3 linked regions of the Oryctolagus cuniculus genome follow. The protein of the gene in region 2 purifies or fractionates together with the protein of the main gene of each other region. This does not show direct contact. Links are inferred from orthologs where the notes say so. Each region holds a gene or a part of one and is shown on either strand. Other genes may lie near its edges.

The links.
Region 1: the proteins of TNRC6B (region 2) and protein argonaute-4 purify together in Homo sapiens (co-immunoprecipitation; 3 studies listed by BioGRID and IntAct, with this or other methods). This does not show direct contact. The link is inferred for Oryctolagus cuniculus from reciprocal best matches to the Homo sapiens genes TNRC6B and AGO4.
Region 3: the proteins of TNRC6B (region 2) and protein argonaute-3 purify together in Homo sapiens (affinity purification with mass spectrometry; 6 studies listed by BioGRID and IntAct, with this or other methods). This does not show direct contact. The link is inferred for Oryctolagus cuniculus from reciprocal best matches to the Homo sapiens genes TNRC6B and AGO3.

The regions. Positions count from the first base shown.
Region 1 is NC_091438.1:136,826,887-136,830,535, forward strand, and holds part of protein argonaute-4, read right to left. Parts: intron 2,497-3,649; coding exon 2,331-2,496; intron 1-2,330.
Region 2 is NC_091442.1:116,179,213-116,183,428, forward strand, and holds the start of TNRC6B (trinucleotide repeat-containing gene 6B protein), read left to right. Parts: upstream 1-1,386; 5' UTR 1,387-2,048; intron 2,049-4,216.
Region 3 is NC_091438.1:136,589,032-136,592,680, forward strand, and holds part of protein argonaute-3, read right to left. Parts: intron 3,270-3,649; exon of another isoform or gene 3,039-3,269; intron 1,898-3,038; coding exon 1,796-1,897; intron 1-1,795.

The sequences.
Region 1 (3,649 bases), on a different chromosome or scaffold from region 2:
TTAAAATATGGACATGTATGGGTCTCTGAGATTTTTGAATGTGAGAGTCAATGAAGTTGGGTGATTGGTCTTACCAACATTAGTGACTTCCACATGGGGACTACCTCTTGAGAGCCAAAATATATCGCTAGTTAATTCATTAATATTATTACAAATGAAAGCTGTGGGGAAGCTTTATACACCACACTTATTTATATACCAAGTCATGTAACTGAAAAAAAGCTTACTTAAGATTATATATTTTAATACTAGAAAAGGTTATGATTATAAAGAGTTTTACAGTAAAGAGATTTTTTGCCTTCATTCTCATTTACTTTTCACAATAACCTTGTAAGATAACGGAGAAAGATTACAGGAAAAAAGAAAAATTCAGAATGAGCCAGGATCTGTCCCCTGGTCACACAATGATGAAGCAGCAGAACTGCATGACCTTGGACAACTTTCTTAATCTTTCCCATGTTTGTTTCCTCATGGTAAAATTATGACAATAGGGACTGGTGTTTGACACAGGGGTTAAGATACTATTTGGGGCCAGCGCCGCGGCTCACTAGGCTAATCCTCCGCCTTGCGGCGCCTGCACACTGGGTTCTAGTCCCGGTTGCCCCTCTTCCAGGCCAGCTCTCTGCTGTGGCCCAGGAGTGCAGTGGAGGATGGCCCAAGTCCTTGAGCCCTGCACCCCATGGGAGACCAGGATAAGTACCTGGCTCCTGCCATTGGATCAGCGCAGTGCGCCGGCCGCAGCGCACCGGCCGCGGCGGCCATTGGAGGGTGAACCAACGGCAAAGGAAGACCTTTCTCTCTCTCTCTCTCTCTCTCACTGTCTACTCTGCCTGTCAGAAAAAAAAAAAAAGAAAAAAGAAAAAGAAAAAAAAAGAAAGAAAGAAAAAAAGATACTATTTGGAACAAGCATATCCATAGCAAAATGCCTGAGTTTGACTCCCAATCCTGCTTCTCATTCCAGCTGCCTGCTACTGTACACCCTGAGACAGGTGGTGGCTTGAGTACTTGGTTCCCTGCCATCCACACAGGAGACCAGGACTAAGTTCTCAGCTCCTGGCTTTGGCTGGCCTGGTCCATGATTTTGCAGGCATTTGAGGAGTGAACCAGCAGATGAAAGAGCTCTATCTCTCTGCCCTTCAAATAAATAAAATTACATTTTAAATTATTATAATATTTATTTTAAAAGAACTCTCTTTTAAGTCATCAAATATTTCCTCCTTAATGAAGAGAGACAGAGAGAAAGGTCTTCCTTTTGCCGTTGGTTCACCCTCCAATGGCCACCGCGGCCAGCATGCTGTGGCCGGTGCATCGTGCTGATCCAGAGCCAGGAGCCAGGTGCTTCTCCTGGTCTCCCATGGGGTGCAGGGCCCAAGCACTTGGGCCATCCTCCATTGCACTCCCGGGCCATAGCAGAGAGCTGGCCTGGAAGAGGGACAACCGGGACAGAATCTGGCACCCCGACCGGGACTAGAACCCGGTGTGCCGGCGCCGCAAGGCGGAGGATTAGCCTATTGAGCCACGGCGCCGGCCCTAGGGTCCATTTTCAAGTTAGGACCCAAACAATCTATTAAAAATCTGAGTCATATCACATGTGTATTTGATGCCCCTGTTACCAGAGTAAATGCTATAGAAAATGTTTTGACTACCTGTGATGAAAAAAATTTCAAGCAGCACATGATATTTTACTTATTAGCAAGAACAAGAATGTTAAGGTCAAAGACTGTTTGAATATCATGGCGTGGAAAGGGGGAAAATCAAAGTGGGTGCACACTGCTAGAATATTTACTACAGGGCTGTGTCTTCACATCTGGCAAATTCTTGCTATACAGCCAACAAAATTCATAGCATCTCATCAGTACCCCTCTTGGATAGTGCTAGAAATAAGTAGAACTTTCCTCTGAGCAATTTTTTTCAATATTTCAAGATGATTCTTCTGTCTTCACACTTACATACTTCTCATGATCAATGTAAACATTTAATAAAATTTGAATTTCCAGATAGTTCTACGTCCCATAGATACTAATGTCCTCACCTATTCTTACACATTTCTGTTCCTCTTTGTTCCTGAGAGTGACCTTTCTCTTTCATTCAGTAGGCATTTGCTACTTATGGTTATATATGACACTCAATTGTACCAGAATAAATGATACACCCACCACTCTACTGGAATAACCAAGGAGGATAACCAAGTACGAGACCACAGACTTGCTATTAAAAAACTCACCATCTCGGGTAAAAACAAAGCCTGTGTGTTGACATAATTTAGAGAACAATATGATAGAAATCATGCTCACTCAAATATACAGAGGCCTGTTCTTTCTGACCCTTACCTGTTGACTCTGCGAGGCCGTTTTTCTGGCTTAATGTCCACATCATAGTGATACACATCTATTTTAGGAATCTGAACCTGAAAATGATTGGCTAACAGTCGAATTGGTTTTCCAACAGTACCAAGGCCAGGACGACGAGGTGGCTGAAATAGGCTGGTGGGAGGTCCTAAAAGATTAAAAGACATTTGCTATGTTATTTGGTCATGAAGTATAATATTTATAATGATGATGACGACAATGCTGCTAGCTGCAATTACTCAGATCTTTTATTCACTGAGCTTGCTCTGATTAAGTGGTTAGGATATCAGGTTGGGACACCCACATTCCATATGGAGTGTCTGGGTTTGAGTCTCAGCTCCCCTCCTGATTCCTGGTTTTCTGCTAATGCAGTTCGTAGAAGGCAGCAGGTGATGGCTCAAGTGCTTGGGACCTTCCGTCTACATGTGAGTCCTGGACTGAGTTCTTTCTTCTGTGCTTCAGCCAGTGCCTGACTTGAGCATTGCACACATTTAGGGAGTGAACCAGCAATGAGAGTTCATTCTGCCCCTCAAATTAAATAAATTGATGAATTTAGTATAGAATGTCTGCCAGCTTAAGGTTCTCTATATTTCTAAATATTTTGCCAGGTTGCCATTATTTTAAAGATAAAGACATCAGAATTAGAGAGTATGATGAATTCCTTTCACTTGTAGGTTAGTGTAAAACTTCTCATGAGCACTAATAGCTCTAAAGCTAGCCTTACAAGGCTGTATGCATTAAAAAAATAAAACTATCTTCAAATTCTTGGGGCCATCATTCTCAGAGTTGGGGGTGATCCATTAATTCTCCATTATTATTATAGATTAATATTATTATAATTATGCATTATTATCTGTTGTACAAACAGGAGAAAAATAAATAGTAGCTATATTTATCCATTTATTTGCTAATTTTCATAGTGAAAAATACTAATAGTACTATATCTCTTGTTTATAGTCTGATATTTTTAGAATTGGGACAATGAAATTTCCTAATCAGAAGATTTAGTTTAGTTACTCAACAAACATTTATTAATTTTTAAAATAATTTACTATTTATTTTATTTACTTGAAAGGCAGAGCAAGACAGAGGGAGAGAGAAAGAAAGAGAGAGAGAGAGAGATCTTCCATCTCATGGTTTACTCCCTAAATGGCCACAACAGCCAGGACTGGGTCAGGCAGAAGTCCAGGAAGCTGTAACCACATCCGGGTCTCCCACGTGGGTGGCAGGGACCCGAGTACTTGAGCCAGCATCTGCTACCTCCCAGGGTGTGCATTAGCAGGAAGCTGTATCAGGAAGTA
Region 2 (4,216 bases):
GGCCCAAGTGCTTGGGCCCTGCACCCCATGGGAGACCAGAAGCACCTGGCTCCTGCCATCGGATTAGTGCGGTGCACCAGCCGCAGCGCGCCAGCCATTGGAGAGTGAACCAACAGCAAAGGAAGACCTTTCTCTCTGTCTCTCTCTCTCACTGTCCACTCTGCCTGTCAAAAAAAAAAAAAAATTGCCTCTCGCTGTTGCCCTAGGACTAGCTGTCCTTTCCTCCCCATGGACGTTTGTGAGCTACCTCAGATCCCTCTGCTGCAAGGCGCGCAAGGCGCAGCCTTATTGTGGGCTACAGCGGTTGTCTCGTTGCTAAAGCAGCGCCTCTGAGCTTACACAACAGCCCCGATGAAGCTCCAGGGTGCGGAGCTGGGGAGGGGAAACACTCGACGCCGCAGCTTCCCGGGCTAGCCTCCAGCGCCCTGCTCCTGCAGGTCGTGTTGGTCCCGGAGGCTGCCGGCTCGCGCTCTGGCAACGGGCTCCAAGCCTCCTGCCCTGCCCTGCCTGGAACGCGGGCTCGCTGCCATGAAAGCGCCCAGTGGCCAGTGGCCAGGAGCAGGCATCTCGCTCGGCCTCAGCCACCCTGGACGCGGTCCAGGAGCGGAAGGGCTCTTCCGTTTGCACGCGATACATTATTGATTTCCAAGGCGAGTCGCTCTTGATCTCGACTCTCTCCAAAGAATGAGCAGGGAACGGACGCGAAGGGGGCTTGGCGGGCCGGGCGGGGAGGATGGCCGCGATGTCCACCTGCGAAAGCCGGGTCGGTGAAAGAGGTGGACGTGCACTTCTGGGGGGCGGGAGGGGGGCATCAAGGCAGTTCAACTCAGGGTGCCGGAACAGAGGATGGGGCGGGGGCGACCCCTCCACAGTCAAGGCTTCCAGAGGAGACGGCGGCACCGGGTGCCCGGCGAGGCGGCCGTGTGACAGCCTGGGCTTGGCAGCCGGGTCCGATTCCGGGCACCGTGAAATAAGAGGGCTCTGTCGCCGCGCCAGCGCCGCGGGCTCCCGTCTCCGCGCGACCTTGGGCGCCCCCCGGCCCGAGCGTCCTAGCCCAATCGCGCCATCACCCCCACGCGTCTGACCAAGCCGTCTCTGTGAGGAACTCGGCAGCACGCTAGGCACGCCAGGACGGCCATTACCGCCGCCCAAGACGTGCCAAGCCACCAGGGCCGAACCCGACTCGCAGGCCGCGCAGCGAGCGGGACCCGACCGGCGCAGCCGGGCGCCCAATAAGCCGCCGGGACAGAACTCAGTGGCTTCAAACCAATGGCTTCAGCCCTTGTTGCTGGCCGGGCTTTCTGGCCGTTCCACCAATAGCTTGCAGCCTCGGCTCGGGAGTGGCAGCCCGACCGTCCAATGACGCACCACCAGCCCACACTCAGCACTTCTGAGGGGATAAATCAAGGAGCCGGCACGTATAGATTCCGTTATTAGGCAGTACGGGATGGAGAGAGGACGTTAGAGGAAACGGCGCCGGGGCGAGGCACTCATGAGCTAAAAATAGAAAAACGACGATGGTTGCGCCAAACGAGCTCGGCCGCCATCATGCTCTAGTTTCCCCTTCGCCTCTCTCGGTCCGCAACCGAGGAAGCGGCCTCTGGGATGCTGAGGGGGTGTGTCCCCGCATGATTGGCGCAGGTAGCTCAGCCAATCCTAGCTCGTCAAACGGGAAGCACTTAACCAATGAGGGGCGACGGCAGCGGCGAGGAATTGGAGGGGCGGAACGACAACTTGACGGGCACAAAAGCCAGCCAGTGACAGCCGGAAACATCCTCCCTGCGGCCAATGGGATGGGACTCTGGGCGGGCCCCCGAGTGTTTGTGTTGTGGTTTTGGGGGAGGGAGGCGGAGGGGAAAGTTTGTTTATTTTGTTTTTAGTTTCTGGGGTCCCCGTGCTTCTGGGAGGTGAAGCGGGAGGGAGGGACCCCCGCGCCCCTCAAGTTCCCCTACGACGTCGCCCCCGTAGCCTGCGGAGAAGCGGGGACCGCGCGCATCGCCTCGCCTCACAGCGGAACGCCGCGCACTCGGAGCCGGCGCAGCTCGCCGGTGAGTGAGGACCGGAGCCGCGCCGTCCTTCCCCTCCCCCGCGCGCCGTGCGGCCCGAGCTGGGCGGCCGGGGCGCGCGGCGTGTGCGTGTCCTCGCGAGGGAGCGCGCGGCGCGGCCCGGGGACGGGGGGCGTGAGCGCTCGCGGGGGCGGCCGCGGCGGCCGGGGCTGAGGCGAGGGGCCGGCAGGGCCGCGCGCCCCGGAGCGGCCGGGCGCGCGCGCCTCCCGCGTCACGCGCCGGCAGGTGTGAGGCGGGGAGGGCTTCCGGGCGTGCGGGCCGCGGCGAGGTCGCTTCCCGTCGCTGGGGGGCCCTGGGGAGCGAGGCCCGCGCGTCCCGGCGTCGCGCCGAGAGCCGCGGCCCGCCGGGGTGCGCCGCCTCTGCTGGCGCGGGCCGGGGGAGCCCCGGGGCCCGGGGCGTCGCACCTGCGTGATGCCGGGACGAGCCCCCGGGCCGGACCCCGGCCGGAGCCCCCCGCGCGCCTTCCCGGAGCCCGCGCCCGTGGCCGCTGGGGGCGGGGAGCGTTGGCCGCCTCCCCTTGGCCTGGCGCCCGTTAGTTTGCAGCTGGAGGGGTTTCAGCCCCTGGTGGCCCCCGGAATGCCTGCGGTGCCCGGCGACCCCCAGGACCTCAGTGCGGACCAGCCCGGGCCGGGCCCTAGCCCTGTATCCCGCGTGGCTTCGGGCCGTGAGTGAGCCTCATGGGTGCCCTCCGGCCGTGCACGGGGAAGCGAGGGGAGAGCGGAGCGTTTTGTGAAGACGCCTGTGTTGCGGGAAACTGCAGTGGTGTGAAGTGTTCTGTTGGTGTGGCGAGGCTCCAGCGACGTCGGCTTTGGCTTTGGAACCGTGGCTTTGCGTGGTGTTACTAAAAGCCTCCTAAGGAGCAGAGCTTGGAGCTGGCCTCGCCGTGGGCGTGTGCGCGGGTGCACGTCGAAGGCCCCCCGCGCTTAAAGCCCCAGCACAGCGTCCGGAGCACAAGTCTAAACCAGGCTGGCTTGTCCCACTTGGGACAAGGGACTGATGACAAGGACGCCTTTATTTTCTTTTAGACCTTGAGCTTCTTAGGAACGTTTACTTATTTATTTGAAAGGCAGAGCGACAGAGCAAGAGAGAGCGAGATCTTCATCCACTGGTTACTCCCCAAAGGCCCCCAGTAGCTGGGGCTGGGCCAGGCTGAAGCCAGGAGCCAGACACTGCATACAGGTGTCCCGGGTGGGTGGCGGGGACCTAGGCACTTGAGTCGCCCTCTCATGCCTCCCAGGCTGCAAATTAACAGGACGCTGGATGTGGGGTGCTGCTGTCCCGAGCTGTGGCCTAACCCACTGCCCATAGCACCTGCCCAGTTCTTTACCATTTTAATGAGCTTGTCCCAAGCACCATTATTTTCTGTAGTTTCTGATAGGACTTAAAGAGACATAGAAGTTCCCAAGCTGCTTTTCTTTTCTGAAAATAAACATTTATTTATTTTTATTTGAAAGGCAGAGTGATAGAAGATCTTGCCTCTGCAGGGTCCCTTGCCAAACGGCTGGGGCTGGCCTGAAACCAGGAGCCTGGAACTTCATGTTGAACACGTGCTCACAGGGGGTGCAGGTGTTGCAGGCTGCGGCTTAACCCACCGTGCGGCAATACCAGCCGCCTCTTTATTTATTTATTTATTTATTAAGACATTTATTTACGTGAAAGAGTTACTGAGAGAAAGGAAGAGACAGAGAGATCTACCTGCTGGTTCACTCCCCCAAATGGCTGCAACAACCAGGTCTGGGTCAGGCAGAAACCAGGAACCTGAAGCTCCATCCTGGTTGCCCACCTGGATGAAGGGGCCCAAGTACCTGGGCCATCAGTTGCTGCCTTCTCAGGCACATAGCAGGAAGCTGGATCAGATCTGGAGCACCCAGTTTCAAATGCACACTCTTGGGATCTGCTTTTTATGGAAAAATAAATGTCATGCCCTTGAGAAAAAGGGTTTTTTTTTCTAAGATGGAGGCACTGAAAAATGTTTTTTAAAAGATTTTTTAAAAATTTCTTCATTGGCTGGCACCATGGCTCACTAGGCTAATCTTCCACCTTGCGGCGCCGGCACACCGGGTTCTAGTCCCGGTCGGGGCGCCGGATTCTGTCCCGGTTGCTCCTCTTCCAGGCCAGCTCTCTGCTGTGGCCAGGGAAGGCAGTGGAGG
Region 3 (3,649 bases), on a different chromosome or scaffold from region 2:
AGGTTGGAGTCCTGGCTCTGCTCTCGGTTCCAGTTTCCTGCTGATGCACACCCTGGGAAGAAGCAAGTGATGGCTCAAATAGTTGGGACCCTGCCACCCACATGGGAAACCCAGATGAGTTCCCAGCTCCTGGCTTCTGCTTGGCTCAGCACAAGCTGTTGTGGAAATTTGGGGAGTGAAGAGGCAGATGAGAGCTGTCTGTATTTGCCTCTCAAATATATAAACTTATTTAAAAAGAAGAAAAAATCTTAATGAAGCTGAGAAGACATATAAACAACAGTCTTTAGTCCCTGTGAAATATTCCACATTATTTGCTGACTAGAGCAGAAATCTGACACTAGTGTTCCAATGGAAAACTGATCCCTAAGATTTTTGGTTAAATGTATGCTGCACCCATGTAGGAGACCCGGAAGAAGTTCCTGGCTCCTGGCTCTTGACTTCAGATTGGCCCAGCTCCAGCTGTTGTGTGCATTTGGGGAGTGAACCAGCAGATGCAAGATCTTTCTCTCTCTCTCTCTCTCTGCCTCTGTAACTCTCTGTCTTCCAAATAAATAAATGAATCTTAAAAAAAAAAAAACACACACACACACACAACAACAAAAAACTAACAAGGGCTGCAACTGTGATGTAGTGGGTAAAGCCACCGCCTGTAGTGCTAGCATCCCATATAGGTGCTGGTTTAAGACCTGGCTGCTCCACTTCCAATCCAGCTCTCTGCTATGGCCTGGGAGGGCAATGGGAGATGGCCCAATTGTTTGGGCCCCTGCACCCATGTAGGAGACCTGGAAGAAGCTCCTGGCTCCTGGCTTTGGATTGGCCCAGCTCCAGCTATTGCAGCCATTTGGAGAGTGAACAAGCGGGATGGAAGATCTCTCGTTCTGCCTCTGCCTCTTTGTAACTCTGTCTTTCAAATAAATAAATAAATCTTTAAAAAAGAGAAATATGTACTCCATAGGGAGTATCATTATGTCTTAGAATTGTATATATGAAATATATGAAATTTGTTCCCTTCTTATAAATAAAAAATAGAAAAAAAACAAAAAAAGAAATATGTGCTTTAGTGATACAGGCTTTATCCCTAGAAGGTGCCATTAACTTTTTTTTGTGATTGTTCCCACTCACTCTGAAGACACACAACATTGATTCTGAAGAGAAACTGATATAAGAACATAGATGAAAGAGTGTGATAATATTTTAAAGATAAGAGTTTGAAAGGGGTTAGTGCATGTGCGGCATGTGAAACTGTAAGACATAGCTGTCAAGTAAGGTACATCTTTCTGAAATTTCTACCTTAATGACAGATAACTTAAGAGAGTTTTGGGCTATATCCTCTCAGATACCCTTGGGATATGAGTTTCTTCCTATTGCTGCAAAGTCTGAGAAACACTGAATTAATTAATTACCAAGTAAAACCAACAAATTAATGAAAAGATTCTTTGGAAATAAGAAAAGATTCTTAAAATCATTTAACTGAAACAGAAAGCTATAATTCTGCAATTAAACTCTTTCACAAGCTCACTATCTACCAGGAAATATGAAAGTTTTCTATATAATATCATCAACAAGAAGCATAGTCAAAGGAACTCTTAGTTACTTTAAGCTTTTTCAAAGATTTAGGCTAAATTAAGGAAGATTTATTCTGTTACACTAACTGTATTCTAATTTTCATAAAAATAGCCCATCTGAAGGTAAGGGAAGAGTTGAAGAATACTTTCTTCTCCTTCTGAGATTTAAAAAATACACATAAGAACGTAAGTTTTTGCATTAAAAGATTTCGCCCACACGGCAGGCTTACCTGTATTCCAGCATGGCTACAGAGGTAAAAATCAAACTCATATGGGTGTGTGATGTCTGTATCAACTGTTGTTCCAGCTGGGATATTGCCACTTCTGCCAACCTAGATTTGTTTGGTCAAAGTTTAAATAAATAAGACAAAGGTAAAGAACATATATGAAAAATATAATGTATACACTGGCACAGGTGTTTTGCATAGCAGTTAAAACACTGCTTGTGATATCCCATACTAAAGGGCCGGGGTTGGAGCCCTGGCTCTGCTCTCAACTCAAGATTCCTGCTAATGTGCACGCCTGAGGGCAGCAGGTGATTGATACCTGCCTGTTATATCTTTGTCTACTTTTGTAATTGCAACCTTTCTGTGTTGGTTTGGTTTCAAGTACATTTCTTACACACTTCAGACAGTTTGCTAGTATTTTACACATTTTGAAAATCATTTCAACTTAACAAATGGCAATATTCTGAAAATACCTCTGTATACAGGTGGGTACTCTTCCATCAGTGAGTTAAGAAAACTAGAATTGTCCTTGGAGAACACTACACTTTATGTTTAGAAACAAAGAATGCTGACCACAAGATCAGCAGTAGTTACCATTTGTTAATTACTTACATGTCACTTAAATCCTGATGACAATCCTGCAAGTTAGATATTATCCCATCTGTATGGGAAAACTAAGGTTCAGGACTCACATGCAATATACGGAAGAACTGGGATTTGAACACAAACGTGACTTATAGGCTCTATACCTTTTATTGCATATGGACAGTTTCACCATCTCAGAAGAAAACAGTTATCATGATTTTTCTCTGAGTAGGTATGTTACTGAAATAATTCAAAATTCCTGATAATGAAAAGCTCCCAGTAAAACACTTTAAACTGTGTATTATACTCATATCTACCCCCTTATCAACAACACATTTAAAATCATTATTTGTATAGGTTTATACAGCTAGTAGATAAGAAACTATCTGATTGACTCAGACATTATTACTGCCATGTGAAGGATTGCTACTGCATAAATGTCTTGAATTACAGATGTGTGGAGCAACCAGTTAGACTTGCCAAGCCTAAAACAAAGACAACAGTTCATAATCTTCTCAATCATGCCTAATCTTAAAAAAAAAAAAAAAAAAAAAAAACACACAAACTTATAAATTAGCAACACATGAGCCTTTTATCAAAAGTTGTACTCTTGGTGGGAATTGTGGGGTGGGGTGTTTGGCTTAGCAGTTAAGGCACATACCAGAGAGCCTGAGTTAGATTCCTAGTTTTGTCTCCTGATTTCAACTTCCTGCTAATGTGGACCCTGGAAAACAGGAGGTGATAACTGGCTGGATGGATCTCTGACACCAGTGTAGGAGAACTGGACTGAGTTCCTAGCTTCTGGCTTGGGCCTGGCCCAGTCCTGGCTGTTGCAGGCATACACGGGAATCAAACAGTGAGTAGAAGCTCTGTCTGTGTTATCTCCCCAACTCTAATTTAAAAACAAGAAAGAAAATATGCATGGATTGAATATTTTTTTTTTAAAAAGTGAACTCTTGGGGGCTGGCACTATGGTGTAGAAGATTAAGCCATTGCCTGCAGTGCCAGCATCCCATATGGGCACCATATCCCATCTTGGCTGTTTTACTTCTGATCCAGCTCCCTGCTAATGTACCTGGGAAAGCAGTGCAAGATGGCCCCTGTACTTGTGTCCCTGAGCCCACATGGGAAACCCAGAAGAATCTCCTGGCTCCTGGCTCCAGCCTGGCACAGCCCCAGCCATTGCAGCCATTTGGGGAATGAACCAGTGGATGGAAGATTTCTATGTCTATAACTCTGCCTCTTAAATAAATAAATAAATCTTTAAAACAA